Sus scrofa: one gene and its partners. The protein of the gene in region 3 binds, or shares a complex with, the protein of the main gene of each other region. Links are inferred from orthologs where the notes say so. Each region holds a gene or a part of one and is shown on either strand. Other genes may lie near its edges. The genes, in order: STX7, BET1L and STX18.

Region 1 (10,136 bases), on a different chromosome or scaffold from region 3:
TTTCCCCAGCGTGGCTGTAAGCTTTCCCTTCCACCAGGAAGAGGAAAAGTAAAACTTGGGGATATAGCTGCATGCCCCTCAAAATCCAAAAGGAAAACGAAATTGCATGGAAGCCCAGTCACTGATGAATCCTGCTAAATACTATGTCTGAACAGCTATGACTGTTGGCATTTACAGATTACTCTGTGTGTGTGTGTAAGTTCTACTATCTACAATATATGACATGGTGACATTAACTCTGCTGAGATGCCATTCTGAATCTCACACAGAGACAGTAAACATGAGTTTACCATCTGTCGTTGAGGACAACTGCCTGCAACTCAGCATCCTCTGTATAACTTCCCAATCCCTGACATATCACTAAATATGCACTGATTTGTCCCGGGAAAAAATGGCATTGAAACTAAAAGGAACTTCAAAGGTTAGTGAGAACAGTGAAAAGCAATTGAAAACACCTTGGATGGTGACAATATCTTAGATATTTGATAAGATAAAAAATTTCTGAGAAAATAATTATCAACAACAAGAAAAGGTAGCTTTAAAAAGGCAAATCAAACACTAGGATGGTATTTGGGGGTTCCCAAAGAGCCTGGCCTTATCTTTGTTGAACAACAAAGATTTATAATATTAAAAGATACATCAATATTAAAGTATTAATGGTCCTAATATTTGTAGTCCTCCATACATATTTATATAATGACTCAGGACATATGGATTCCCTATACTAACCTGATTCACTCAAGAAATCAGTTCATTCCTGGTGGAGGCGCTGCTGAATGCTGACAGAACACCTAACGGTCAAGAACATTCCAAGCTAATACAATTTCCACAGGACCTAAAGAGGTCTTTTTGGACAAGGATCTTTGCCTCTTTAGTCCAGAGTATCAGTGACATAAAAGAAAGAAAAGGCAGAAGGGAACACAGTCAATGGAGACGAATCGCAATCAAAGACATTTCTGGGTTGGAATGTCAAAATGACTGCGGAGACCAGCAGCTGTCAGAAAAGACTGGAGTTGTCTACTGTTCCCCTCAACACTAAACACTAAACTTCCTACCCCTGTGTGTCAGAGGACTGGTTCGGCCCCAAGAATAGACGGACTAAACCCAGTTTTAAACTGATGGGTGGAGTTCCCGTCATGGTGCAGAGGAAACAAATCCGACTTGGAACAAGGAGTTTGCAGGTTTGATCCCTGGCCTCACTCAGTGGGTTAAGGATCTGGCGTTGCCGTGAGCTGTGGTGTAGGTTGCAGATGTGGCTCAGATCCTATGTTGCTGTGGCTCTGGCGTAGGCCGGTGGCTACAGCTCCACTTCGACCCCTAGCCTGGGAACCTCCATATGCTACATGGGTGCGGTCCTAAAAAGCCTTAAAAATATATATATATAAAATGAAAAAAAAAAGATGGGCATATTTCTGACCTGTCTTCCACGGGATTTTAAATATTAACATTTCAGCTACTTTAAACTTTTTTTTTTTAGATTTTTATTTTTTCTATTATAGTTGACATAGCCACTTTGAACTTGATTACACACACACACACCTACAGAGAGACAGACACAACTAAAAAGTTGAAATTATGAGACAATTTAGCATAGTCAATATTACCTGATAATCTGCTGCCCTTGACAGCTGCTGGTTCGCCTGCTGAACGTGCACCTCTGAGCTTTCCACATTGGCTTCTATGCTATCTTTAAAATAAAACACACAACTGTTGAGCAGGTGCTGATGCTCCAGTAATAGAGCTGCACAAAGCACTAGATTTCATTTAAGGTAAGATTAAACACGTGCAGTCAAAGGTTACTATTATTAAGAATACGGGCAAAGTTGAATATTTTTCTTTTTAGGTATACTATTTTTCAGGTGATCCAAACAAAACATAAAAATTTGAAGGAAAAAATCCCAATCATCTTCATTACAACATACTCTAGTTCTATGTGGTTATTGCACAAAGTGCTGTCACAGAGTTGCATTCTGTGATGGCCAACTCAGGACCACGCAGGCATCTGAACTTTCATTTAGAGTAAATATAGAGAATCCAAACCCATCATTTGCTTGGTGGCCATCATCAACGTTCTCTGTGCTGAGATCTAGCTTCCCTGAGGAGCCCTGCAGCCTTCTCGAGGGGTGACGGTTTTCCTTTCCACCCTCCTCTGACCTGGGGGGCAAGAGGTGTCAATCCGCAGGATGGGTGACCACCGTATCCTCCTCCCTGCCAGCTTTCAGTTCTATAACTCATGCTGTCCCACTCAGCCAACCCTTCTTGCTGCAGACATCATAGAGCTCAACGTCTTTTCTTCTCACTTCCAGAATATTTCACCCCCTGAACCACTGATGTTTTCTTCACTGCTCCTCCTAGTACATGTTTGGCAATTTCAATATCCAATGGCTGACCTTCCTATTCCTTGGCCTCTCAGTTCCCTTATTTTTTTTTTTTTTTCCTGTCTTTTTAGGTCCGTACACGTGGCATATAGAGGTTCCCAGGCTAGGGATTGAATCAGAACTATAGCTGCCGGCCTGCGCCACAGCCACAGCAATGCCAGATCCGAGCCTCGTCTTCGACCTACACCACAGCTCACAGCAACGCCAGATCCTTGACCCACTGAGCGAGGCCAGGGGCTAAACCTGCATCCTCAAGGATACTAGTAGGATTCGTTACCACTGAACCACGAGGGGAACTCTCTCTCATTTTCTTGAGCACATGTTTTTCAAAGACTTTGCCTGTGACCCTTTCTCAGCCACCCACTTCCATGATCACATCCCAAACCCATCATTACCCATCACTGCAGCTTCTTCGTAATCTCCATTCAGGTCTCACTCTCCGAGCCCCACCTGCTATCTTCAGAGCTCTCTCCTTCTGAGACCCCGACTTGAGTGATCCCACCACTCTTCCCTACCTCTCACACACTTCATGTCCTCACTCCCCTTCTCTAGCTTAGACTCCATGGACAATCAGGTGTCACTGTTTTCTTGTATTTACCTTCATCCCCCTTGTCCCTACTTAATCACACTTATGTGACAAAACCCTAACCTGTCCCATGCAGCAGCTGAGCATTAAGTGCAAAAAGGGATCACCTGTGCTGACTTATTTCACATTAAATTCTGGACTGCAAAGCATGCCTGCCTCACTCTCCCAGTTCCTCAAAGACCAAGTCATCCTTTCTCCTCTGTCCTCTAACTTCTCCTGCCTCTTTGCGCACCATCATTCTCCACCAGGGACCCCGATTTCTGGATCGCTGAGACAGCAGGGACAATCAGAAGACATCTCCACATGCTCCCCCGACCCTTGCCAGGGCAACACGCCGCAACATCTGTACTCAGACTTCTGGTTCATGATTAGGGGGGATCCAGCCAAGCTCCAGCAAGAGCCGACCCCTCCCTGGGTGCCCTTTATCTCATTCTTGTCACTAACTCAAAGACCTTGCTCTATCATCCCCACTTTTTTCCCATCAATCTTCCTGCTGCCATCTTAAAACAAACCCAAAAGCCTCTCATTTATTCCACATCCACTGCAGCTATGACCGCACTTGATTCCCAGGAAGGATTGTGTACACTTGCCATCTCATCACCTCCTCGCAGTGCCTCCTAAACCTATTTTACCATGCTCTCTCCCACGCCATTTCACCAACACAGCTCTCCTCCGAGGTCCCCTAGGCCCTACATATTGTTAAACTCAACAGTCAACTCTTAATTCTCAGTTTACTTTATCTAGCAGCAGCATCTGAAACAGCTGACTAGCCATCGCTCTTGAAATGCTTTTTCTACTTCATTCCAAAACAATACACTCACTTGGTTTTCTTCTGCATCACCGACTAGTCTTTCTTAGTTATTTTTAATGGTTCCCCCTTGGCTCTCTGGGCTCTAAATCAGGAACCAACAAACCTTTTTTATGTGCCAGATACTAAATATTTTAAGCTTCTTGGTTCTTTCATATGATTTGTCATAAATATATAGTCAACTATGCCTCTGCTGCATGAAGCTGCTGAAGGTAACATGTGAAGAGAAGGATGTAGTGTGCTGACTGCTCTAAATATCTGTGAGTCCCCCTCCTCCTCCTCTCCTCTCTACCACACTTTCTTCCTAGGTGATCTCATCTAATCACACAGTTCTAAATACCATCTATGTGCAGATGACTCCCAGGTGTCACCCCCAAATCCTGTGTTCTCTACCAACGCCTGTCAAACCTTCACCTGGGTGACAACTGGCACCTCAAACCTTACTGTATCCAAAAATTACTGATTTATATCCACCTAAACCTGCTCCAGCTACAGATTTCCCCATCTTGAAAAATGGCACCACCATCGTGACCTGGGCCGAAACCTTAGAGTCACCTTGAATTAACTCTCTCTCACCCCTATCAGACAGTCAGTAGATCTTTTTGGCTCTACATCCAAAAAAAAAAAAAATATCCAGAATCCTGTTGCTTCTTACCACTTGACTGTTTCCATCCTGATCCAAGGCAACACAGCTGCTCACCTGGATTCCTGCAGGAACCTTTTAAGCGGTTTGTTTTTGGTTGTCCCTTTGCAGTCTGTTCTCGACCCAGCAAAGTGAGCCTCTTAAAGCCTATGTCAGATGACAGCCCTCCTCTGCTCGTACGCTCTCGTGGCTTCCCCTCTATTAGTAACAGCGACAGTCCTCATGATGCTCGGGGTCCTACAAGATGCTGTCCCCTGTGACTTCTGACATGGTCTCCATCTCCCCCTGCTCATTCCATTCACCTCAGGTGACAGGTATGCTTCTGCCCAGAGGCCTTTGTACCTGCTGTTTCCTCTGCCTGGCATACGTTCTCTTGCTTGCTCCCTTACCTCCGTGAATTCTTCACTATTATGTCACCTATCAGTGAGGCCTAATATGACTCCCCTATGAAAAGCAGCACATTCCCCACCACCCAGAGTCCCATCCCCCACCTGGCCTTATTTTCCTTGTAACACTTATCACCCTTTACTTACTTTTCTTTTTTTTAAAATTGTCTCTCACCTCCAACTAGATTTTAAGATTGTTTATATGTCGTTTAATTTTAACTGAATCCCCAGTGTCTAGAATTATGCCTGATATAGCAGGCATTCTATAAATACATACAATGATTTGGGAAATTTTACCCTGTGATCTACTGGGGATACAGAGGAGGGTAAGATTGGACTGATAATAATTACATTAAACTGTAGATACAAGTATTTTTAACTGAACCAAAATTCAGAAAATACATTAAATCTATCTTTAGCAATACCCTCTAATATTTTTGTATTTCAAAATAATAAAAATGATCAGAATCCTGATCAATGTTGACAACTACACCTTTAATGAATTATGATTACACTTAATAGAAGTCTTAGTCACTGATTTTTCTTTAAAAAATTCTCAGTATCTAAGTAATACTACTAAATTAATCTACCAAAAAAGCTATGAGGATAAAGGATCATGCAAACGGCCACCTATTCCTATTCCCTCTATTCTAAAAGACAGGTAGCAAAGACAATTATGAATAGAAGTTTCCCCTAAAGTCCTTGGTGTGATGAGAATTAAACTGGGATAAGGCAGAAACCAGAGGTCCTGGAAACAAGCTAGAATGCTGCTACATAGCACCTTCCATAAGCTCAGCAGCAGCAGACCCTAATTAAATTTGGGACTTCTTAAATAAATGCAGCTGGTCATTTCAACCAGTAGGAGCCAAAAACAAGATGTGTCTTAGATACTGCCAAGGATGATGTTTTGTCTGTTGGAGGACCGAAAGAGAGAGAGGAAGGAGTTACTCTGGCTTGAGAAGCTGCAGCAGGTAAACGGCATGGAGCTTGCTTCCACCTCACGAAATATAATGAGCAGAGCTTACCTATTACATCTCCTTGTTCATGAATCATCATCCCCAAGTCTTTAAATATTTCATTAATATCCATAATATCAGCCTAAGAGAAAAAAGTGTACTTTGTTATCAGAAATTCAGTCTCCAATCCACAAAAGGGGAACATTTTTTAAAAACCCAAGCCACCACTCATACCCAGGTGAGAATGCATCTAGACTTAATAACACACAGGAAACTATTTTACTATAAGCAATCCCAGGTAAGCAGACTTTGAATAACAGTAACTAGTTCTCTAAAATAAGATTGTGATGTTAAAAATATCAAGCCACATGGGACAGAAGTGAAGGATCTAGCTAATAGAGAAGGGCTGTGGGTTGCTGAATATATGTCAACTCAAAGAGACAGTTAACATAAAGAATTTATCACACAGTGCTTGGCACATGGAAGCCCTCAATAAATGGTAGGCTATTATTAGCCCATTTTCTAGGGAAAAAGTTCTCTAAGAACTATGGCTACTGAACCCTTTAGACCTCTTTGATATCCTGCACATACTAAAAAGAAATAAAATACTTTTAAAGCCCTTGGAAAAAGTCTTATTCATGCAGGTGTGACGTGTATCATATGGCACAGGAGCCATTCAGACCCTTTAAGCAAACATTTATCTCTAGATGATATTTTCTCAACGCTCAGGAGCCTTCAGATGACCTAACAGAATTAAAAAAGAAAAAAAAAAAAAGCTGGAGTGGAAGGAAATACATTATCTCATCCTAGGAGAAATTCTAAAGCATCACTAGTTTTTTAAAAAAAGAAATTATTCTAATTTATATAAAAAGTGCCACCAAAATGATGGATTTCTTTAGTTATCTTTTTTGATCTCACTCCTAGCATCATCTAAGCATTTTCAGGACAAACTCACTAAGAACAGAGCAGCAGTCCAACTTTATAAAGCTTACTTCAAGTTGCCTAATAGAAGACTCTCGCTCATGAATAAGGCGAAGGTCATCCTCTGTAATTTCTTCATCCTGCACTTGCACTTGAGGCTGAGTTTGGCTGTTAAAAAACAAAACAATAAGTAAAAAAGAAGAACCAGTTAAAACAATGGGGCTTTCTTCTTATTTAAGAAATACGTATTGAATTTTTTTCTTCAAAAACATAAAATTAGGAGTTCCTGTCATGGCACAAAAGAAACGAATCCGACTAGGAACCATGAGGTTGTGGATTCGATCCCTGGCCTTGCTCAGTGGGTTAAAGATCCGGCATTGCGGTGAACTGTGGTGTAGGTCGCAGACAAGGCTTGGATCTGGAGTTGCTATGGCTGTGGTGTAGGCCGGCAGCTGTAGCTCCGATTAGACCCCTAGCCTGGGAACCTCCATATGCCGTGGGTGCGGCACTAAAATGCAAAAATAAATAAATAAAAAACAAAATTACTCACTTAAATTCTAAAAATAGGATAAAAATGTTAACCAAATTTTATTCATCTGTCATTTCACTGATATTATTTTTCAGTTATTATTTAACTTTTTGGAAGCTATTATATTTGGCAGGTGAGTATTTCTCCTTGGTTGACTTAATCCTCACACATGGGAATAATCTATATTAAATAATAATTAAGTCAATGTTTATTTGGATAATTATTTTAAAAGTATTGCTACATTGGAAATTTTTATGTTTACATATTTTATAATAAATAATTATTCTGAAAAATTTTCAAATTTATTATTTATTTTTTATTCATAAATAACTTTGGATAGTCATGGCATAATATACTGAAAGCTTTAATTCTGCCCAGGAACCATGATGTAAGAAAATGTATTTCAAAAATTACCCTTTGATCTGCATGTTTTATACTTCTTACCTTTCCCAGGATACAAGATTTCTTTCTTTTGAGGTCTCCTCAGGAAAACCACCCTAAATAATATAATAACAAAATGGATTAAGAAGGTGCACAGGAAAAACACACACCACTCACATTTTATTTTATAATAATCTAAACTGATTTACATCTACAAGGGAGTTCTTGTTCTAATATTGTAGGTCAATTACTTTAGGTAATAACAAAATTATATCATAACCTGATAAGCAAAGAATTCATTAAATATTCTCAAGTGCTAAATAATAATTATTATTCGATTAAAATGTAAAGTAGTCTTGGAACCTCTATATTAAGGAACAATATACTCGTGATAGTTTCCAGGGGAGATATATAATTAGATTAAGTTAGAATTCCACTCTAACTTATCCTTTCATTTATTTTCTCCAGGTATATATTTTCAATAATTATATGTATATTCACTCTGTTCACGTCCATCATCTTCACATAACCTAGGAGGAAAGACTTCTCTACACCAGCATGAACACGAAGTAACAGCCTCATGTTCAAATTAGGATCAGACCCCTAATCTTTTCTGACAAAATGTTTATTTTTACATAATCTGTAATCTTTTGTTTGACACAGAATAACCAGAGTAATACACCATTATCATACTTCTTAAAAATTAAGCAGAAACACCTGAAATTAAATATTTCAATACTGATCTCTAAGACTTTCACAGGTCTTTATGACTCAAGAAACACCCATGTAGTCTCTTAAGATATTTTAGAGAATACTGTGTTCCTTTTTACAATGCCATTTTAAATACTTACAGAAACTCTGGAACTGGCTCTTACTCGAGCAACAAATTCTTTCTCTTTCTCAGCAGCTTGCCTCTGCACCTTCTGAAAGTTTGTCAGTGACGTTGTGAATTCAGCCACTAAGCGGTCTTTCTGTATTTTCCTTTGACGCTAGAGGAAAGGGGGATTTAAAAAAAAAAACAAAAAACAAAAAACACCTGATAGAATCAAGCTGTGAAATTCTACAGCATGTGCAAAAGTTGTTGGCTCTTTATTTAATTCTGAAAATTTAATTTTCAGACTAAACTTTCAAGACTAAACCAAGATGAAATAGAAAAGATGAATGGACCAATCACAAGAACTGAAATTGAAACTGTGATTAAAAAACTTCCAACAAACAAAAGTCCAGGACCAGATGGCTTCACAGGCAAATTCTATCAAACATTTAGAGAAGAGCTAACACCTATCCTTCTGAAACTATTTCAAAACATTGCAGAGGAAGGGATACTCCCAAACTCATTCTATGAGGCCACCATCATCCTGATACCAAAACCAGACAAAGATACCTCAAAAAAAGAAAACTACAGGCCTATTTCACTGATGAACATTGATGCAAAAATCCTCAACAAAATCCTAGCAAACCGCATCCAACAGTACATTAAAAAGATTATACATCATGATCAAGTGGGATTTATCCCAGGGATGCAAGGGTTCTTCAATATCCGCAAATCCATCAGTGTGATACACCACACTAACAAACCGAAGAATAAAAACCATATGATCCTCTCGATAGACACGGAAAAAGGCTTTGACAAAATCCAACACCCATTTCTGATAAAAACCCTTCAGAAAGTGGGCATAGCGGGAACCTACCTCAACATGATAAAGGCCATATATGACAAACCCATGGCAAACATCCTTCTCAACAGTGAAAAGCTGAAAGAATTCCCTCTGAGATCAGGAACAAGACAAGGATGTCCACTCTCGCCACTACTCTTCAACAAAGTTTTGGAAGTCCTAGCCAGAGCATCAGAGAAGTAAAAGAAATAAAAGGAATCCAAATTGGAAAGGAAGAAGTAAAACTATCACTATTTGCAGATGACATGATACTATACCTAGAGAATCCCAAAGACTCTACCAGAAAACTGTTAGAGCTCATCCACGAATCTGGCAAAGTCGCAGGATACAAAATTAATACACAGAAATCGATGGCATTTCTATACACTAACAATGAAAGAGCAGAAAAAGAAATTAGGGACACCATCTTGTTTACTATCACATCCAAAAGAATCAAATACCTAGGAGTAAACCTACCTAAAGGGACAAAAGACCTGTACTCTGAAAACTATAAGATACTGATGAAAGAAATCAAAGATGACACAAATAGATGGAAAGACATACCATGCTCTTGGAAGAGTTAATATTATCAAAATGACTATACTACCTAAGGCAATATACAGAGTCAATGCAATCCCTATCAAATTACCAAGGACATTTTTCAAAGAACTCGAAAAAAATATTTTAAAGTTTGGAAGCACAAAAGACCCAGAATAGCCAAAGACATCCCGAAACAGAAAAATGGAGTTGGAGGAATCAGGTTCCTGGACTTCAGACTATACTACAAAGCAACAATCATCAAAACTGTATGGTATTGGCACAAAGACAGACATATACATCAGTGGAAGAGGACAGAAAGCCCAGAATTAAACCCACGCACCTACAGTCAACTA
Region 2 (10,718 bases), on a different chromosome or scaffold from region 3:
GGCAAGGGTCGTGGTGTCCAGGCACCCTCAGAACACTGTGCATTCTAGCTGCAGCCCTTTCCTCAGCTGGCAGGGCCCCCTGTCCCCAGTGTCCGCCAAGACTAGTGCTGCTGAGGGCTCACCACATACCAAGCCCTGTGGTCAAGCCTGGCAGTGTGGACTTCCTGCTGGTCACTTTGGTCCAGGGCTTAGGAGGTACTGCCCCAGTGAGGGCAGAGCCTGCAGGGGGACGGGGGTGTCAGGTCCTCACAGCCTCTCCTCTCCCAGGTGACCGTGACCAAGCCCTGCGCCCCCATCGTCACCTTTGGCATCAAACATTCTGACTACATGACACCCCTGGTCGTGGATGTGGAATAGTCCCGGCCCCGCTCCACCAGTCACCCTGAGCCTCTGCATGTCATGTTCCCCCAACAGCAGATTCCCGGGGCTGAGGGCTCTGGGTGCCTCCTCCACCAGCTGGGCTGCAGCTGGCCTGGCCCTGCAGGGCAGAGCACACTTGTTTGGACAGTTGTGACCAGTTATTTTTTCTATGCTACCTTCCCTTTTGCTAAACTTGTTTCCTGCTGAGCCTGGATATGTAATAAAATCTGATTCCATTAGTAATGGGTGTCTCTTGGGGGATCACCAAGATTTTCCAGAAAGGGGCCCCCATAGGCTACCACCGACCCGTGTCCGGCCCCTCCTAGCTTCCAGGGCCTGGGTTCTGACAAGAGTGGAGGGCTCAGGAGCCTCAGACACTGCCCTTAGGATTCTGCCTTGAGCCCTGCCCTCTACGTGGCTCTATCTGTCCCCTCCCATGTGATGTCCAGTGTGGCTCTCTCTCCCCTGCTGAGAGTCCCTCCCCTGGAATCTAGAACAGCGTCTGGGACCATCCCAAATGGAGATGCAACGTGACTCGTGAGGCCAGGCCATGCGACACACACAGAGCTCCCACCTGGGTACCCCCTTCTCTTTGCTCACCTTCACACCAGGAACCATGTCGTGAGGAAGCTGAACACATGATAAGACAGTGAACATGGCTGGGCCCCCAGCTCACCCCAGCGGTGACCTGCAGATCTGTCACTGAGCCTTCACGTGATGGCAGCACCAGCCTCTCACCTCTGAGAGGAAGCCTTAACATCATAAAGCAGAGACAACTGTCCCCACTGAGCCTGTCTCAAACTCCAGCAGCGACCATGAGACATAAATCACTGCTGCAGGGGTTCCTGCCATGCCTCAACGGTTAACAAACCCGACTAGCATCCAAGAGGATGCAAGTTCCATCTCTGGCCTCGCTCCGTGGATTAAGGATCCGGCGTTGCCATGGGCTGTGGTGTAGGTTGCAGACGCGGCTTGGACCTGGCGTTGCTGTGGCGTAGGCCCACAGCTGTAGCCGATTCAACCCTGAGCCTGGGAACTTCCAATGTACCACAGGTGTGGCCCCAAAAAGACAAACCAAAAAAAATTTTACTTCCGCAATTTCAAGTGACTAAATCTGAAAGTGACATTATACATCAGATGCTACGTGAAGCACAGGAGGCTATGGACAAGGAAGGGGTGACGAGCTGGGATGAAGGGCATTTCCAGAGGATGCTCGGGAGTCCGAGGCCAGCTCTCAACGGACTCCAACCTTCAAACCAGCGCTAGGCAGGTGGCCCTGTGGCCCCTGTGGGACTTTAGTCACGAAAAGGCAGTGACGCCACCTTCCCCAACTTAGTCACAGAAACCTGGGGAGAAAAAGGTCCAGCAGCAGGACGTAGTGAGTCCACGCCTGCCCCCCCGCCCCCCGCCCCAGGGGACGAGTAAGGACGGGAGCAGGGCCCGAGAGAAGGGGAAAGAAGCCACGTGGAGACCACCGTGCCCAGGGCAAGGCTGTGGACCAAGGTCAGTTCCAGACAAAACTCTCGGAGGCCCTGAAGGAAATGCAAACACCAAAGACTATGTGTTTACTTAATCGAGAATCTGTTTATTCCAAGTTTTTATGACCAAATGCCTTGTCCTTGACTTGGGGCCCTCCCTTGGCACAGAGGACTCCAAGGCCTCTTCTGTTTTAGTCTGAAGGGCCACTTAGCAAACCCCACTTATCCACAGGAGGAGGTGCTGAGTGCACAGGGCTGAGCAGAAGGGTGCAGGCCCCACAGAAAACCCTGCCGACGTGGTGGCAGCAGCATTCAGGAACTCAGCCTAATGCAACAAAAAAGTAAACCAGACAGAGACAAAAACCCAGACCCCAAAATAGCTGGAAGAGCTGCCAAGAGCCATGGAAATGAAGTGGGGAGGCAGAGGTGGGGACCCAAGGAGAGAACACAGCAACCAGAGGTCTCGGAGGGGGCAGAGCACTTCTTGAGACAGTCATTCTGAAAGGCAAATCCTCAATTCCTGGTCTGCACTGGCAAGACGAGTGGGCACAGCAGGTAAGAGCATCCTGGGGGGAGCAACAGCCATGGCTGAGCCATATTCTCAGGAAGCCAGGTTAGCAGGCCCAGAACAGGCGGCTGCCACACTCAGGTCTGATGTGTCTGCCGTGCCTGTGGTGACCCGATGGAAACACGACACGGCAGCAGCTGCTGAGCTTCATGAACAGTAGGCACGTCCCTGTGACAAATTTCAACATGAGATGAGCTGACGGCTGAGTCGAAGCCATGGAGGCAAGGAAGCGGACCTCACCGAGTGAGAAACAAGCACACACTGGAGGGATGGAGGCAGTAAGAACAGAGCACTCGGAAATGAGAAGGTAGCACGCTCCCCTTCCAGAAGGCTGAGGCCCAACCAGGCGCAGTGGAAAAGAGAAGGGCATTATGGTGAGTGTGAGACAAGCCAGGCCTGCTCGGTGGAGAACAAAGGAGAGAGAGAGGAGGAGCAGGAGCAGCAGGGCCAGAAGGTGAGGTGCCCAGGGCCAGAGACCAGAGCAGGGTGGGGTGGCAGGAGTTGAGAGGCACAGGCTGTGGCTGACATATGACCACATGTGTATGTGTGAAGATGGCCGGTGAGCCGGTAGCCCTCAGAGAGTGAAGGGGAGTGACCAGGAAGACAGAGAACTGGAACAAAAGACGGGAAGGACAGAGCTGATGACTCGTTTCTTACAGGTGTTTTCATGGGAAGACACTGAGATCTCACAGTGGGGTAGAAAGACCCATTGGTTTGGAAGAAACTGCAGTTCACCTTGTGTGAGCAGGAGACTGACCAGTGGGCACTGAGGGCCCAAGGAGAGATGGGCAGATACTGTAGGTGGAAGGGCCAGACTCGGTGGAAACTGTCCGCGGACCCTCAAAAAGCGACCTACAGATCCTATGAAAAGCTGTTACCTGGAAGCCTCCAGGCTGTACCCACAGAGGCCCCTGCTCACACCCTGCCTGACTCTGACATGCCAGATGAGCCTCTTTCTAGAGATCTGGGCTCCTGGAAACGTGTCTCGGTGCTGGACAGACCCTGAATCCTGAGAAAAGGTCAGTTTCTGCTCCTGGACACAGGGAGACCAGGAGGACCTGGGCCCGCGTCTTCAGCCAATGCTGCAGTTCACTTCTCCACGCATGGCCACTGCCCTTCCCTGAGGGTCGGGCTCCAGCCATGGGGTTGGACGGCAGGCAGACACCTCTCGGCAGGACCCTTGACTCTTGCTGGTCCACCAGTGCCCGGCAGCCCTGGCCAGGAGCAACGGCCATCTCTGGTTTGAGGACCCTTGGCTGAAAGTGACAGCAATGATTCGAGGTTCACAGTCGCACCCCTTCCTGTGTCGGCTCTGGGCACCTCGAATACCAGACGTGGCCTTATCCAGACCAAGACCAAGCAGAGAAGCCTCAATACATCAGAACCCTGAGGGCTGGGGGAAGGGCTGCTGGTCACAGGTGGTCACGTCCAGGATTCCCAGCTGCTCTGCTCCAACCTGGCTCTGCTAGGGCTTCTAGCACCCAAGATGGCAGAGGAAGCTGGGCCTTGGTTACCCAATGGGGATGGGCCCCTTGCACACATGGGACCAGCTAACATGAGCTTACTGGGTCAGAGGCTCCCAGCCACACAGGAAAAAGATTCCTAAGCCATGCTCATCACTTCGAAGGGGTATTTTGTAGGTAGATCTTCTGGAGCCCAGGACACAAGGCAGAGGAAGACCCTGGTTGTCCCAGGTACCTACAGAAACCAGTTCCCACTGGCTCACGTCCTTGCCCTTGACAGGAGGTAGGAGAGGATGAAGAAGACCACGATCAGGCCCATGGCCACACCACAGAGAAGCTTCCGGTTGTCTCGCCCAGATCTCGCCATTGTGGAAAAGCGCTTCACACTCCCCGTGAGGAGGCCCGTCACACTCGTGAAATCCGAGTCCTAAGGGAGGAATCCTAGCATTGTCACACGGGGCAGCAACTCCACAGCACACACACGCGGGGGGGGGGGGGGGGGTGCCTGCAGGGCAGGTAACGTGGGGCCGAGAACACCGCAGACCCTTACCATGCCGTCCAGGTACCGGTTCTGGTCCTCCACATCCCTATCAATGTCCAAGGCCAGCTGCTCAGGACACAGAGGGGACAGGGTCAGGCCAGGACAAAAATAACGGACTGTTCCTAACCCCCCACGGCATCAGCAGAGGTCAGGAGATCCAAATGTCACCTGGGCCAGCACAGGTGAGTGCTGCCATGTACGGGACAAAGAGAGAACTATCTGGACCCCTTCCAGGCCTCCACCCTCCCTCTGACGCCCTCCTCCAGAAGGCCAGATGGAGGTGAAAGGAGAGGACCACCACTGACCGACTTGAGCCTGGTGACCTTGGAGGCCAAGGTGTCCGCCATCCGCTTGTTCTCCCGGTCTAGAATCTCCTCCACAGCGCCGGGGCTCTGAGCTGTGAGAAGAGACAGAGAGGGGGTGAGAGTGTGCACCCACCCACGCGCACCCTCTTGACCTCTGCCCTCAGGGCTCTCACTCCAATTCCATCTAGTCCAGGGGGACTGGGCTTTCCTGTGTCTGCTGAACAGGTCCTGCCCTAACCCAGGGTCCAAAGCGTGAACTTCACACACGAGACAGCCGCGTGAAGGACAGCGTGCGAGAGCACTTGTTCTGTGTAGGCATCCAAGCCCGGATGGGTGGGCAGCACCTTCTGATACTCTGTGACAAAACCTGTACCATCCCCTCTGGATGGACTGGTATGTCAGCCCAGATGTCACCAGCGACGTAGAGGGGACCTGTTCTCAGAGAAAACCAGTAAACTCTGGCAAGGACTTAGGAAAAAGTCATGAACAGAAGGGGAGGTCGATCTCACGAGCAGGGCATAGATCTGCTCAGCTCTGCATCCTACACAGAGCCTTACACAACACCCAGAGCAGTGGTTGCTGAGACCTGGCCCAGGACAGGGGCTGGGACTTATGACTTGACTTGGTATAACCATCCTATCAAGTAGATGAGAACTGCCTCCCCAAGTTCACAGGCCAGATTTGCCGTGGGCCAGATGTCTCAGGGAGGCTCATCTAATAGGATCACAACCCTAGAAATCATGGATGTGTAAAGATGCCACGAGATGTTAGCATCCTACCAACCGCTTTCATCCATTAAATCTGTAAATGCCGCAAGCCCAGCGGAAACAAGCATCAGCATCCCACTTCGCAGATAAGAACAGGGGTTCCCAGAGGGCAAGTGGGCCACTCCCAGCCCCAGTCGGTACGAGGCCTTCTTGGGCCATCACGCGCAGCCCTCACTCCTTGGGGCTGGCCTCCGGAACAGTCGACCAGCCCGTCTGGCTGAGGTCCCGTGCAGAACAGTCTCACGAGGGCGGAAGGGGTGGGGACAGCGGACATCCGGACCCCGCAGCTTCACCGAGAAGCCGGGCAAGACCGCCCGAGGGCCCCACCCACGCCGCCCTGGCTCCGCCTGTTCTCAGTGTCTGCCGGCCAAAGCCACCCAGAGAGGCGGGGGCGGGCGAAAGCGACTCCTGCAGGCAGCGGCATCGGTTCCAGCACCGCCGCCACCTGCCTCCGCTCCCCAATGCTCACCCCGAGCCCAGTCCGCCATCGCGCCCAGCACGGACCCGCAGAGCTACAGCCTCCCGGGATGTGGCGCAGCCGTCGGGGAGGGACTTCCCGTCCCGCCCCTTCCGCCCGGGGCCCTCCAACTTCCGGCCGAGCGGGCGAGCGGGCTGGACGGAGAAGAACTGACGTTTCCTCCACCGCCTGCCTTGTGAACAGGGCCGCTGGTTCGCTCCTGGGACTGCTGGAAGGTTATCGTTTTTAATAGCATCATGGTGCCGACAGACAATTCCGCGGCCATTCCTGCCGAAGGCGGTGTCAAATCCTAACTGGAAAGAGCTCACGGCCCTTTCTCAGGCGAGAGAGGCTCCTCGCGGCGACACGGCCCGGGGTCCGAGGCCCGCCCGGCTGCGGTGCGGTTAAGGCGAGGACTCGGTGTGAAGCACGCTCCAGATGCTGCCGGCGGGATAAAGAGGGGATCAGTGCCTGGAACAAGCGAGCGCTGCAAAAATCTCAGGGATGAAGCACTTGAAGGAAAACGGGAAATCAGGAAGAAGAGTGGGAGCGTGAGGGGAGTTAGGGGCAGGAGGAGCCGGTGCTGCGACCTTGCACCCGGGCACTGACAAGGGGTCTGGCACAAAATAGATGCTCAACAAAGGCTTGTTGCGCAGTGGGTGGAGTATATGTTATTCACCCACTGTAATGGAGCATTCACTCTGTGTCGTTTAGTGCTGACAACCCACCGAAATGGGACCTTTTATCATCTCTGCTTTTCAAAAGAGGGAACTGGGTCCAGGCCAGAAGATGTGTCTGCTTACACAGCCAGGAAGTCCCTGCACATGATCAGGCTTTGCCTTCATCCTGACCTGGACCTTCCCTCCCCACTCTCCCCTGTCTCTCAGCCCCAACAATGATCTCTTTCTCCTACAACGGCCATTCCCACCTTTACTCTGCCGGCTCCTTCGGCCTTGAATGAACTTCCCCCACATCCCTTCCTGGCTCACTTCTTCCTCTGGTCTCAGCAAAAGCGACACTTATTCAAATCCCCTTGGAGCCCATCAGGCCCCTTTTTCAATCACAGCACTATGACTGCTTAAAGTCTTCCCGTTTTCCCGTTTTTGTTTTCACCTCTGCAATATAAGCTCCACGAAGGCAAGGACCTGTGGGTTCTGTTCACCCACATCCTGGTTCCTTGCATGCTGTAGGCCCTCAAACGCCTGCTTAATAAACAAAGTGGTCCCGGGGCTGCAAAGTCCTTTCCACTTCGTCTTTCCTCGGAACATCTCATTCGTTCTGTACATCAAGAGGGGTGTAGTGTGCGTGTAATAGCGGGGTGAGAAGCTAAGGCCCTCTCCCGTAGGGAATTCACTGCTCGGAGCCGGAGCGATTCAGGCCCGTGGTCGGATAACCACTGAGTCGGACACTGAAAGGCAACGTGACTAGACATCAAAGCCTTTAAATTCCCGAGGGCTCTTCTAGGCCTCTCCACTTTAAGGCGCGCGCAGCCCGGGCCCCCGCCCCGCGCGGCGCCGCGCGCAGCCCGGGCCCCCGCCCCGCGCGGCGCCGCGCGCAGCCCGGGCCCCCGCCCCGCGCGGCGCCGCGCGCAGCCCGGGCCCCCGCCCCGCGCGGCGCCGCGCGCAGCCCGGGCCCCCGCCCCGCGCGGCGCCGCGCGCAGCCCGGGCCCCCGCCCGCGCGGCGCCGCGCACGCCCCTTCCCGGCCTCCCCCGCGCGCCGAGCTAGGGCCGGGCGGGCCGTCTGGGGCCCAGAGCCTTGGAGCGAGGTACCTTCCGCTTCCTCGGGCCGGGGTCCCGGGAGCGCCATGGAGCCTCGGGCGGTAGTGGATGCTATAGAGACGGGGGAGGAGGACGTGGTTATGGAGGCTCTGCGCGCCTACAACCGGGAGGTGAGCGGGAGCTATGGACGTGGGACGCGCAGGGAGGAGGTGGGGCTGGGTGGGTCCCGCGCGCGTGGCCGGCGGGGAGGGTGTGAGTGGTGAGCGTGGCGGAAGGCTGAGGGTGTTGGCGAGCACGGCGGGGAGGGGCACCGAGTCTTTGAAGAGTTGCTGGGGGTGCCGTGGGGAAAGGGAGCCCTGTCTATTGAGAGCGGTGTCTGCGGCCTTGGAGCTCGGATTCTGCTTCGGTGGACCTGTGCCTCCTAATCTTCTGGGTCTGTTTGCAGAACTCCCAGAGCTTCACGTTTGACGATGCCCAACAGGAGGACAGGAAGGTGGGTGCTTATCAAGGGTAAAGGGGCAGGGACGGGTGGCCCAGGTAGAGGAGCCTGATGGAACCGCTCTATTCCCCTGCCCACAGAGACTGGCGGAGCTGCTGGTCTCAGTCCTGGAGCAGGGCTTGTCACCTTCCCGCCGAGTCATCTGGCTGCAGAGCATCCGCATCCTGTCGAGGGACCGCAGCTGCCTGGACTCGTTCACCAGCCGCCAGAGCCTGCAAGCGCTTGCCTGCTATGCTGGCATCTCTGCTTCGAAGGGGTCGTGTCCTGAGACTCTGGACATGGATGTTGTGCTCGAGTCCCTTAAGTGCCTGTGCAACCTCGTGCTGAGCAGCTCCGTGGCACAGGTGCTCGCCGCAGAGGCGGGGCTAGTGGTGAGGCTCGCAGAGCGAGTGAGACTGTACCGCCAGAGCAGCTTCCCGCATGACGTCCAGTTCTTTGACTTGCGCCTCCTCTTCTTGCTAACGGCGCTTCGCACTGATGTGCGCAGGCAGCTGTTTGAGGAGCTGCAGGGAGTGCACCTGCTGACCGAGGCACTGGAGCTGACGCTGGGAATGACCCCTGGAGAGGGACCCCCGGAACTCCTTCCTTCCCAGGAGACCGAACGGGCCATGGAGATCCTCAAAGTGCTTTTCAACATCACCTTCGACTCCATCAAGAGGGAGGTGGATGAGGTGAGGGCTGGCCTCAGCCTTCGGTTGGGCTTAACAACTAGGATGCTTCCGGGACCTGCCTCTCTGCCAGGTACCCTCAAGTTTCTGGGTGTCGGACCAGGAGGACATCTGCACAGCAGCGCTTGTCAGGAGGAGGCAGGGAGGTGCCCGTTCCGTATAAGGGCATCGAGGAATCAGAGCGCGTATCTGGCTCTTGCAACACCAGGAGTGCTGTGTGGTGTGGGGGCAGGCTGTAGGAGATTCTTCGGGGGGCGGGGGGCGAGAGCACAGAGTGACTTCATCCCAAAGGGACCTGTTGATGTCCCTAACCACGAGAGTGCTCTTAAGGTCACATAAGTGAGGCTGAGCAGCCAGGTGTGGTGGAGGAGATGCATGGCCTGCATGAGGTCTGGCCGTGGGCCAGGCAGTAGATGTTCAGCAGGCAGCAGTGGGGGTGAGTGGCACTTTCTCTCACAGGCACCCCTTTCTCTTTGGTCAGGAAGACACTGCACTTTACCGGCACCTGGGGACCCTGCTGCGGCACTGTGTGATGGTCACTGCTGCTGGAGACCGCACAGAGGAGTTCCACGGGTGAGGGTGGTGCCTGTTGGGCACACCGGGGCGGGCGTCTGCTCTCAGGTCTATATGGTGGTTTCCAGCCCTAAAGAGAGAGTTTTCATCCAACTGGGTGGGACCAGGCATTGGTGTGTTTCCACAGAGCTGCAGCACTTAGAACACACAGCTAGGACAAGAATTGTGAGCTCAGGACAGAATGTGCCACTGGACCTTGAACACTGTGGTATCCATAGAGCAGTGTGGTTGTCACTTTCATTTTCTGTGACCTATGCCTGGGCGGGTCCCAATTTGGACTACCTGTTGTTTCGACCCAGGTGTGTGGGAGGTGGGATGTCTGCAAGGAGGGCCTCCCTCTGCTCTGGTACTTGGTGCTACTCAGGCCCCTGATACTGGTTCGGGTCATGTGTGATCCCAGCAGGGGGCAACAAGAGTTGCGCCTGTGCTGGGGGCCTGGGTTTACCCAGCCCTCCTTTCCATGTGTCCCCAGCCACACAGTGAACCTCCTGGGGAACTTGCCCCTCAAGTGTCTGGATGTCCTTCTCACCCTGGAGCCACACGAAGGCTCCCTGGAGTTCCTGGGAGTGAACATGGATGTGATTCATGCCCTCCTCAGTTTCCTGGAGAAGCGTCTGCACCAGGTGGGCAGGAGGCCCTGCTATGGCTCTGGCCCAGGCTTTCCCAGGCAGCTGTGGGCGCTGCTTTTGTGCAGTCTGCACTGGTAAGGGGAGATCAGCTCCCCAGTGGGATTCAGGCAATGCCTCCAGCTGCTCCAAGGTCCAGCCAGGCAGGAAGCCAGAATGTCCTCCTTGAAATGTAGGCAGACTTTTTGATACAAACAGAAGCAGGTTTTCAGAGACTAGCAAAGTATTTGTTTTTAGGTCTCTTTGTGGATCTTCTTGAGGGGGACCAAGAAGCCGCTGGTCCCTGCTTGTGATGCTAGACTCGCAGTGTCGCTCTACACAAGCAGCTCTTGGTGATGAGCAGCGGCTGTCCTTTGGTCTCTCTAAAGGGACCCACAGGATCTTCCAGGCAGAGGCTCCCTGACTCCTGCGGCCGCACCATAGAACACGAACTAGCCCTTCTGGGAGTTTGCAGATGTCATGCGAACTACAGAGCCTGACAGACTCTGATTCCGTAGAGCTCTGTTTGTGTGCTCGTGCTACGTTAGCAGCTTTCAACGCCCTGTTTTCCCCACAGCTCTGGTTTAAGGGTGGGGAAGTTAGACTCAAGTTGAGTGATTTTCCCCAAGTCACAGGGCATGTGGATGGCCTCTTGAGTTAGTGTCCATGCCTGTCCCTTTCAAAGTTCACACAGACACCCACTGCCTGCTCTTGGC
Region 3 (10,136 bases):
AGCCCAGCACTGGCAAAGGGACAGAGTCCTACGGGTATGTGCAGGACACAGGGTAGGAGCTGTGGATCTAAAGAGCAAAAGACAAAATCCTGTAGTTCCATTGTGGCTCAGCGGTAGCAACCCCAACTCGTATCCACGGGGATGTGGGCTCGATCCCTGGCCTCGCTCAGTGGGTTAAGGATCCAGCGTTGCTGTGAGCTGTGGTGTAGATCGCAGATGCGGCTCAGATCCTCCGTGGCTGTGGCTGTGGTGTAGGCCGGCAGCTACAGCTCCAATTCCTAGCCTGGGAACCTCCATAGGCCGCGGGTGCAGTCCTAAAAAGCAAACAAAAAAAGACAAACTTCTTCCCCCAGCAAGCTTTAATCAAGTTAGAATGAGAGGACTGAATCAGAAGAAATAGGATGAGTCCGTTCTTTAGGTGTCAAATTAGTACGGTGAGAGCCTGTGTTGTAAAAATCACTTTTTTTCTTTTCCTTTTTTTAAAGGAGGAAAGGTGGAATGCAACAAAATTTTTGTTTTCTGTAACCAAGCAAAGGGAGCAACTAATAAATACCTCAGGGTCACACACCTGGCCATGGGACCAGGCACTATTTCTCCACTGGGTCTGCCCGGTGTGTCAAGAGCGAAGGGCTCCGTGGTGAGCGGGGCTCTCTCGAAGGAAGATGCCGTCGAGGCAGAGGGTCAGAGGAAGACTCCGAGAACTCCGTACACTGAGGGTTTCCCACACCTGTCTGGCTACGGAATCGGTTTACCAAGTAACACTTATCATATTTAGGTCTCAGGATTTCCTCAGACTATCTCAGGAAATTCTCACATTATCCTGCAGGACTAACACTGGGATGTGATAATATTCTGATGATGAACTTCAGGCTACAGTGAGAAACCCAGAAGGTACAGGGAACTTGTCCAGTCCTCCTAAGCGCTGCTCCACAACCTACGCAGTTAGAAGGAACGACGCCTCGCGGACGCAGTCAGGTTTCTCCTTCTCAAATCTCGCTGGAGGCAGGAAGAGCCTCAGAGCGTCCCACTCCGAGACCCTCCCTGTAGGAGGGGAAGCGAGATCTCAAATGACAGCCCGACCCAGGGCGCTGTGAAGACAGCCTGGGTGGAGCCAGGGCCAGATGGCCCCCCAGTGGGTAGGAGGGAAACAGCAGTTGGAAGACAAAGGCCTACTTGCTAAGTCTGGATCTGTTCCTGGACTTGCGTACCGTTTGCTGTGCCTCCACAGAGATAATGCTTGAAGCTAGTGGCAAAGAACATCAGAGGCTAGTTTTAATTTCCAGACTGCCACGTGAAAGCTCTCCCCAGGAAAAAGAGAGGCAATGACACACAAGGCGATTACTTTCTGGAAAGGAGAAATGTTTCTGATGGTTTCAATTAGACTATATACCCAGGAGGGCATCTCTTGGCTATTTCAACTTAAATCATAAGCAAAATATTAGTGCTTTAGGGAGATGAGGGCGGTAATGAGATGACCGGTCACTGTGCCAATGGTGCGTCTACACTGCCCACGACCCTTTCAGTTTATAAGCTCTCATTATGTAGACCTGAGGAGCCACGAATGCAGGACTGCGTTCCTTTCCTTCCTTCATTCAAGAACCATTAGTTGAGCACCTACTTTGAGCCAGGTTCCGATCAAGGCCCTGGGAGCAGAGAGATAAAAGACACAACGGTCCCTGTCTTCAACAGACTCTCGGTCTCATAGCAGGAGGAAGGACAGAGACGAGACCCCAACAAAAGTGACCACCATCCCGAGCTCAAGGCAACTAACAGCAGGTGCCACTGTCGACTCAGATAGTACAGCGCCTAGAGGATGGGTGAAAAGAGTCACATTTAGCAACAGTCCCGTCCTTCTATGAAAACAGTCATGGAGGGAAAAATCCAGAAGAATCCGTTGAGACGACTTCTGCCTTAACGGGCAAGACCTTCTCAGCTAGTTTGGAATAAGAACCCTTTGGCAGGAGAGGTTGGTGTGATATCGCCATTCCATGAAGATGAATGCAGCCGAGAATACCTTTCCTCTTAGGACTGTCAAACATTTAAAATAAAAACAATCAGCCTGCCCCTTTGTTAACACATATGCTTTTCTTTTACCAAGAACAAAACAAGTAGCAACAATGCCATAAAAGGTGAGACCTTGGGTTTCTCAATTTTTTTTTTTTTTTTTTTTTTTTGTCTTTTGCCATTTCTTGGGCCGCTTCCACGGCATATGGAGGTTCCCAGGCTAGGGGTCGAATCGGAGCTGTAGCCGCCGGCCTACACCACAGCCACAGCAACGCGGGATCCGAGCCACGTCTGCAACCTACACCACAGCTCACGGCAACGCCGGATCCTTAACCCACTGAGCAAGGCCAGGGATCCAACCCGCAACCTCATGGTTCTTAGTCGCATTCGTTAACCACTGAGCCATGACGGGAACTCCCTCAAGTCTATTTTATAAGAATGATTTTTAACAATAACCATTACCAATCAAAACAAAGAACCCACCAGTCTAACACGACAGTGAAAAAATTTAGAGCCAAATAACTTGTCATTCACTCCTTCATGCACACATGCATCCCACAGTCCTCCCTGAGCAGCTTCTGCAGGCTGGAGCAGGTATTGTGCTGCACAGAGGGCTGAGGGGCGTACTAGCAGCCAGCTTCTAAGCGTAGAAGTGCCACACCTGCTCATGACAATGCACAAGGAGCCACAGACAGGAACCACGAACACTCCTGCAGAAACTGGGAAAGTCCTTAAAGAGCAGGTGGCATCTTAACTGGGGCTGGAAGCATAAAGAGGAGTTTGCCACGTGAACGGGCGAGAGGGGGCGGAGAATCTAAGTATACATGTGAAGACATTCTGAACAGAGAAACCGGCAAGGATTAAGGCCTAAGAACTTCAGAGAACAAGGCCTCTTCAGAACACAAAGTAGTCAGGTATGGCCGGACCGTAAATCCACAGAGACCAACTACGAAACAAACAGCTATGGGTCCAGAGTGTCCGCTATGAAGCTTGGCCTCGGTAAGACACTGGAGCAAGGGAGAGATAAAATGATACGTGTGTCTTAGGTGGGTGCCTTCCGGGGCAAGGACGCCGAAGAACTAGAAGGGAGGCTGGACTGCCCTGGACTAGAAGGGCCTTACGTCCCTCAAGGCCCTTCGCTAAGGTACTTGGCACAGGGCAGCTATCTGACAGGAGACGAGGCTGAACCTCACTGCCTGAAGGAGAACGATTCCCATCAGACTGATCGCAATTCGTCCAAACCTCTGCTGAGCACCAGGCCCTGAGAAGGCAGCAGAAAGGCCCTTCTTGCTTTACTCGAGGCCCCTGTTCAGTCTCCAGGGCCAGGGTCCAGCCGGGATAAGGCAGCTGCCTCTGGAGAGCGTGAGATCCAGCGACCACCCAGCCTCTTGATGGTGAAGCCCACAGCACAGAGCCTCCGCTTTCTTGGGCCAAGGCTCTGCCTGCACTCCTGCCCGAGCCTGGGTGCTGCTTCCTCTCTAGTCACTTACCTGGATTACTTTCTTTCAACAGCCAGCACAAAGCCCACTGTCTGAGAAGCCTGTCCTGGTTAACCACATTCAACTCTCAGTTCAGCCGTGGAGGCAGGCAAGTGACCTAAATTCCCTGAGCCTCTATAAAATGGGATACTGATAAGTCTCTTTTTCTCTTTCAGCCGAGCGGGACGATATGCTGAGCCCCAGAGGCACCCCCCTAGGCTGAGCGTGGTGTTGGGGAGCCGGCCACAGTAAGAATGAAGCAAACCTGGCCTAAAGGAGCGTGTAATGTCACCCTCTGAAAGAACACCCCGAAATCTTGCCAAAGCTAGCAGAGCCGTGAGCAAGAGCTGGAGCCGGGCCCTAGCACCCGTCTTCCTTCGGGAACCCAGTTGCAGGCTGGCTGAGCTGCCGCAAGGGAGGCTTCTCAGAGGACCCTGTCCTGTGCTCTAGACACCGGCGCTCAGGAAATGCAGAGGATGGCTCTGCTACTGCCTGGCCGTGTGGCCTGGTGCCAGTCATTTAACCTGCGGCAGCTCTGGTGTCCTCGCCTGCAAAGCGGGTTTGTGACAGCGCCCACACTAAACAGGCGTGGGGCTCCACAGGCATCGCAAGGGAGCTGTGTGTGCCCATGACCCAAGGCCTCCCTGCGCTCCAGCTCGTCCCTCAGGGGCGGTGAGGAGGGGTGTGGGGGTCAGAGGGTCCGCGGTGAGACCGTTAAACCCGTGCCAGGCGCACAAGGTTATTTAATTGGACGGGATGAGTGAGAGCATGAATTCTGGACCAAAGGCGTGGGCTCAGATCCCAATTCTGCCGCCTCCTGGCTGTGGGCCTTGGCGAGCTGCCCGAGGTCCCGCCTGAGGGTCGAGGGAGACAACCGTCCTGCCTCGTGGGCTACCGGGAGCTGGGCCGTGCCTCGCAGGGGCCCGGCACACACGGAGGGGGCTCCTCGAGCACCGGCCCCGGCCTTTCACGAGCAAGTCCAAGCGGGGCAGGCTGTAAAGCCTCGGGCTCTAGAAACTTTCGTTGCTGTATTATGGCCACTGTCATGAATGAGGCGCATCCGCAGAGGCGATACTTACAGTCTTTTCTTGTCCACCACTCGCTTAACTCGGATGGCTCTCTGTTCGGAGTAGAGCTTACAGACTCCTGTCCAGGGGAAAACACCAGACCAGACACCATTAGAAACTGCTGCTCAGGCAAAGGAATCATTAAACCCAGTGAGACCCAACACCTAAAGCTATCGCCAGCAAAGCTAATGCTGGGCCCCCTCTAGTGTGAAACGCTACATCTGACCTTTAAGGTAAAACGAAATACTTAAAAGAGAGAGAGAGGGAAATGGAGATACTTTTTAAGTAATCTTCGATGAAGTCCAGAACGGCACTCCTGTGCTCCTTCACTTGCTGGGAAGGCACCTCCTTGTGGGCTGCAACGGAAGGAGAGTGTTCAGGGCTTCGTACCAGTCACCCTGCAGAACAATCATCAGCGGCCTCACAGCCGTTTCTTTATGAGACGTAGTCTTAAAAATACAGCTACAAAACTAGTCTTGCGTCAAATGACATTGCATTAAGATTTATTAGGCTTTGCAGGAGTAAAAGATTAAATCTGCAGGAAAACCACAGTCGAGGAATTCGGGGTGGATGACAGCACGGCGGGACCGTATCTGAGGCGGCCCGCTCCCTAGGTGCCGACCCCGTTTCTGCTGACAGCCTCCGAGGCTCAGGCTGACCTTCGAATCAAACTCAAAGCACAGCCGCCCTGCCTGCCTGTCTGGGCTCTCTTTCAGTTTGGAACCTTCTGGCCTCTCCTCTCAGCCACTCATTCCCTTAGACATCGAGTCAAACCTCCTTCTCCAGAAAACCTTGACTCCCGAGCTGTGAGGACGCCTTTTTGGGGTTGTTGTTGTTGTCTTTTTAGGGCCAAACCTATGGCATATGGAGGTTCCCAGGCTAGGCATCGAATCAGAGCTGTAGCTGCCGGTCTCCACCACAGCCACAGCAATGCCAGATCTGAGCCATGTCTGCGACCGACACCACAGCTCTCGGCAATGCCGGACCTTAACCCACTGAGCAGGGCCAGGGCTGGAACCTGAGTCCCTGAATGCTAGTGGATACCAGTCTGGTTCGTTGCCACTGAGCCACGGCGGGAACTCCAGGGACGCCTTTCTTCTGTGAACCATCACCTCTTCCTAGAACCCGAGCTGGTTATTGGTAGGACAGCTCACATTTACGAGACTGAAACCCACCGTGTGCAGGCTGCTGGTACTTTACAGAAATTATTGCTAGTGATCCAAATAATCCAAAAGGCAATTATGATTATGCCTGTTTTACTCACAGAGATGCTAAGGTTCAGAGTCAACAAGTGGCCCAAGGTCACAGGGTTTGGTACTGAATTCCTCGTTGGATTAAATGTTCATGTATTTACTAGGTCATCTCAATGAATGTCTTTAAGGGCAAAGAGCACGATTTTTTTTAAAAGAATTATAGTTGATTTACAAAGTTGTGCCAATTTCTGCTGTGCAGCAAAGGGACTCCATCATACACGTATATACATTCTTTTTATTAAAAAAATATGGAACACTTCAGTAACTTGCATGTCACCCTTGGGCAGAGGCCGTGCCAGTCGTCTCTGTGTCGTTCCAATTTTAGCATATGTGCTGCCAAATGGAGCACTGACTCACTTTCACCACAGGGCTGCTGAACCCGAGATGCAGGGGAGGAATTCAGCAGACCTATGAAATTATACACAGAATTGTGTGTGTATGTACATTCTTCGGGCAGGAGCTTTCATCAGACTCTTCAGGTGGTCCATCAGGGTCCTAATGGAAGCTTCCCAAACAGACATCTGTGTCAAGCACAGCAGCATCTGGCCACCTGAACTCAATGCTATGTTAACACAATCTGTGTCTGTCTGAGCACATTAAAAAAGAAGCCAGGAGTTCTCGTCGTGGCGCAGTGGTTAACGAATCCGACTAGGAACCATGAGGTTGTGGGTTCGGTCCCTGCCCTTGCTCAGTGGGTTAACGATCTGGCGTTGCTGTGAGCTGTGGTGTAGGTTGCAGACGCGGCTCGGATCCTGCATTGCTGTGGCTCTGGCGTAGGCCGGTGGCTACAGCTCCGATTCGACCCCAGCCTGGGAACCTCCATATGCTGCGGGAGCGGCCCAAAGAAATAGCAAAAAGACAAAAAAAAAAAAGAAGCCAGATGTGGCTCGGATTCCGAGTTGCTGTGGCTACGGCCAGCAGCTGTAGCTCCAATTCGACCCCTAGCCTGGGAACTTCCACATGCCACAAGAGCGGCCCTAAAAAACAAAACAAAACAAAACAAAGAAGCGGCAGCAAGGAAGATGCATAACTATCTCAGTGCCTTAACAAGAATTACACAGCAGGGCAAGTGAAGGGATGAGAATAACCCTCATCCTAGCCGTGGTTCTAGGGTCCTGGGAATGCAGTTCTCATAACAACCCTCTGAGATAACCACAGCACTGGCTCCATTTCAGAGACGAAGAGACTGAGACTCAGGGGTGGTTAAGTGACTTGCCAAGGCCATGTGGTCAGAGAGGGTGGAGCCAGGCTGGGCACACAAGTGGTTGACTCGCCAACTGTGACACTCAAAGCAGAGAGCACCTTCCTGCGTCCTCCTCATGCACCTTCAACCGCTGACCCCGTCGGGGCACCCAGGGCGCAGGCAGGCCTGCCCACGCTTCCACCCCATCCACCCTCTCCGCCCCTGGCCCCTTGGGAAACTTTTGGTTCTGTCAGGAGAGGTCCTTGCTATTTAACTCGAATCACGGCCTCTTCACTACTTTTAACAGCTCAGGTTACAACACCAGTCAGGGAGAGAAGACTTCCGCGGTTCTGAAACCCAGCTCTCTAAGGACACCGAGGAGCTTCCCGGCTGTGCCGTATGCATCCCGTGGGTGCTTCATGGAGTTGGGGCTGTGCCTGCGTCTCGGGGCACTGACCTTGGGCTCGCAGCTGCTGGATGGCCTCTGAGCAGGTCCTCATGAACGTCTGAGCATCCTGGTCTATCTGGTCTCGCTCCGTGTCCGTCATTCGCCCGTATTCAGACATGGTGTGGCTACAGCGAGAGAGAGGGGGCAAAAGCGAAAGGCAGTGGCAATGACCGCACGTGGAGCCAGGCGGGGGGCGGGGTGAGGGAAGAACCAACCTGTCTGCTGAAGGGACCGTTACGTGGGGACTTGAGGAGGAGGAGGAACTGGCGGGCTAGGAGGGGGGCGAACACTCTAGACAGTGGGACCACCGCCTACGAAGGCCGCCAGGTAGAACACACTGCCTGCAGACCACACTGGGGCAGGCCAGGCCGCAGGGACCGAGGCGGGCGTGGAGAGGAGGCAGGGCCCGAGCACACAGGCCTTGTGAAGGGTGTGGGCTCTGACTTTGAGGACAACGGGGTCCCCCAGCACACCGACTGAAGCCCGGGCGGGCTGCACAGAGGATGCTGGTCCATCCAGGCTGCCACCTGCCCACGTTGACAAGCAGTCCTCAAAACCCACAATGCAAGAGCTTTTAGACCCAGGTCATCTCCCCTGATACGAAGTTAAAAACTCAAGTCACTGGACCAGTAAGGGTGTTCACTATCAGTAACGCTGCACCCGAAGCTCCAGGTGTGGCAGTTTTATCACCTCGCTCATCTTTGTAAGATGCGGGCTGGTGCGGCAGCGTTACCATTAACAGTGCTCAGACACTCTGGATGCTCGGGCTGGAATGAAGAACCACAAAACACCGAGGTAAAAGCAACCGGAGATAATCATTCCATCTTCCCTGCCAGCCCCACTAGCCACCCAATCTCATTCCGACTGAGAATAAAACACAAAGTCCTGGAGTTCCCGTTGGGGCTCAGCAGTAACAAGCCCAACTAGGATCCATGAGGAGTGGGTTCGACCCCTGGCCTCACTCAGTAGGTTAAGGATCCGACATTGCCATGCGCCGTGGTGTAGGTCACAGGCACGGCTTGGATCCTGTGTTGCTGTGGGGTAGGCCAGCAGCTCTAGGTAGCTCTGATTCGATCCTTAGCCTGGGAACTTTCACATGCCATGGGTGTGGACCTAAAAAGCAAAAAACAAAACAGAAGAAACAAAGTCCTGATATTCCCACCCCCAGCAGTGAGCACACTTCTCCCTCTCGCCCTCCATCACTGCACTCCAGTCGCACGGGCCTCCCTGCTCCCCACCATCCGCACAGCCTCCCGCAGCCTGGATCCTCACCCCCAGATGCCCACCCAGTCCCTGCCGTGCAGCTCCGCTCAGAGCCACCTCCCCAGCGCCCTCAGCGAAGGCCCGTGCTGCACGGGGACGCAGCGGCTCTTGCGCTGCGGCCGCCCTCTGCACTCTGCTCCGTGAGGCCCGGGCCCGAGCTCGCCTCTCCTCCCACCGGCTCCGACTGCCCGGCACTTGCAGATGCTCTGGATCATGAACGCCCGACTCCTCCCAGGAGAAGGCAGCTTCGTGGGAGCAGGACTCTGCCTCCTTCATTTCTGTCGCCCGATCCCCTCACATGCCGTCCCACACTCAGTAGGTGTGCTAACGGCAGCTGAGCACTTAGCACGTGCCAGACACTATTCTCAGGGCCTCATATGTATTTTATCTCCTTGTTAATCCTGGTGACACACTCATTCGCTCACTTGTTTACTAATCCCCACATGTCAGGCGCTGCGGCAGGGTTGGGAGCTCAAAGTAGGCAAGGCTCATTCTGGCCCCACAGAGGGTACCACGCACAGACCAGGGGGCACGGGGTCCGGAAAGCGAACGTGGGACCCAAGGAGGGAGGGGTCGGTTCGGGCAGGGGAGGTGCTGCACAGGGGACAGCGGGAGAAGACCTGCAAGCCCCACGGTGGGTGGCAGCCAGAATGACCAGAGAACGTGTGACCTGCCACAGGACACACCTGAGAGGGAAGGGAAACAGAGGTAATCCAGATGGTCCCTGCAAACCGAGCACCCAGCTGTGACCTCTGGGACCTCCTGGTTCATTCCAAGGGGCAGCGTGCCACGGGTGCCCGGTCTGCATCTCCATACTAACACGCCCAGCATCTGTGTGCACTATTTTTCAAAGGAACGCAGGTGGTGCTCTGAAAAGTACACGTTTATTTAAAGTTGTTACGGAACCTGCAATAGCTATTTCTCCAGTTATCAACAGGTTTTCCCCAAATACAATGCTCATGCAAATACAAATAGGCCACCGTCGACTGGAAAGGAGTCCCTGTAGCAGAGAAGCTGGGACTGCCGGCTGGCGTGGCCACTGGAGGCTTTTACACAGGGGGAGCTGCACTTCGCAGGGGGTCCTCTCGGCGGCCGCCCTGGAAGCAGAAGAAATCAGACCACAGCTAAGAGGGCAGGCACTGAGCACCCGGAACAGATGAAGAGAGCCTGGGCGAGGCCACGTCAGGGGGACCAGAAGGCCTGACAGACCTGAGAGAGGTCTCGTTGGTGAAAGGGGCTGACGCGGAGCTGCGTAAATGAGGAGCCCAGGACACAGAGCCCAGAGGCAGGCGTGGGTGCGGAAGGAGGGGGATAAGGCGCAGGGCCAGAGACGGCGCGCAAAGCGTAGGCCATGACATGAGGAGACGGAGCGACCTCCAGGACGGTCCAAACTCTGGTCCTTCCGTGATATTTTATGAATAGCACTAGCTAAATAATTGG

The links.
Region 1: STX18 (region 3) and STX7 share a complex: the UniProt entries of both Homo sapiens proteins name them as parts of the SNARE complex. The link is inferred for Sus scrofa from reciprocal best matches to the Homo sapiens genes STX18 and STX7.
Region 2: STX18 (region 3) and BET1L share a complex: the UniProt entries of both Homo sapiens proteins name them as parts of the SNARE complex. The link is inferred for Sus scrofa from reciprocal best matches to the Homo sapiens genes STX18 and BET1L.

Annotation. Positions count from the first base shown.
Region 1 is NC_010443.5:31,224,062-31,234,197, reverse strand, and holds part of STX7 (syntaxin-7), read right to left. Parts: intron 8,578-10,136; coding exon 8,440-8,577; intron 7,705-8,439; coding exon 7,652-7,704; intron 6,847-7,651; coding exon 6,750-6,846; intron 5,900-6,749; coding exon 5,827-5,899; intron 1,688-5,826; coding exon 1,605-1,687; intron 1-1,604. UniProt on the Homo sapiens protein: May be involved in protein trafficking from the plasma membrane to the early endosome (EE) as well as in homotypic fusion of endocytic organelles. Mediates the endocytic trafficking from early endosomes to late endosomes and lysosomes.
Region 2 is NC_010444.4:24,551-35,268, forward strand, and holds BET1L (BET1-like protein), read right to left. Parts: upstream 5,912-10,718; 5' UTR 5,557-5,911; coding exon 5,499-5,556; intron 4,808-5,498; coding exon 4,716-4,807; intron 4,477-4,715; coding exon 4,420-4,476; intron 4,297-4,419; coding exon 4,129-4,296; 3' UTR 4,109-4,128; exon of another isoform or gene 2,575-4,108; 3' UTR 1,925-2,574; downstream 1-1,924. Other genes in the region: ODF3 (outer dense fiber protein 3), read left to right, coding at 268-357; RIC8A (synembryn-A), read left to right, coding at 7,744-7,827, 8,103-8,150, 8,237-8,827, 9,306-9,397, 9,870-10,020. UniProt on the Homo sapiens protein: Vesicle SNARE required for targeting and fusion of retrograde transport vesicles with the Golgi complex. Required for the integrity of the Golgi complex.
Region 3 is NC_010450.4:5,967,137-5,977,272, reverse strand, and holds part of STX18 (syntaxin-18), read right to left. Parts: intron 7,559-10,136; coding exon 7,443-7,558; intron 4,906-7,442; coding exon 4,828-4,905; intron 4,629-4,827; coding exon 4,562-4,628; intron 1-4,561. UniProt on the Homo sapiens protein: Syntaxin that may be involved in targeting and fusion of Golgi-derived retrograde transport vesicles with the ER.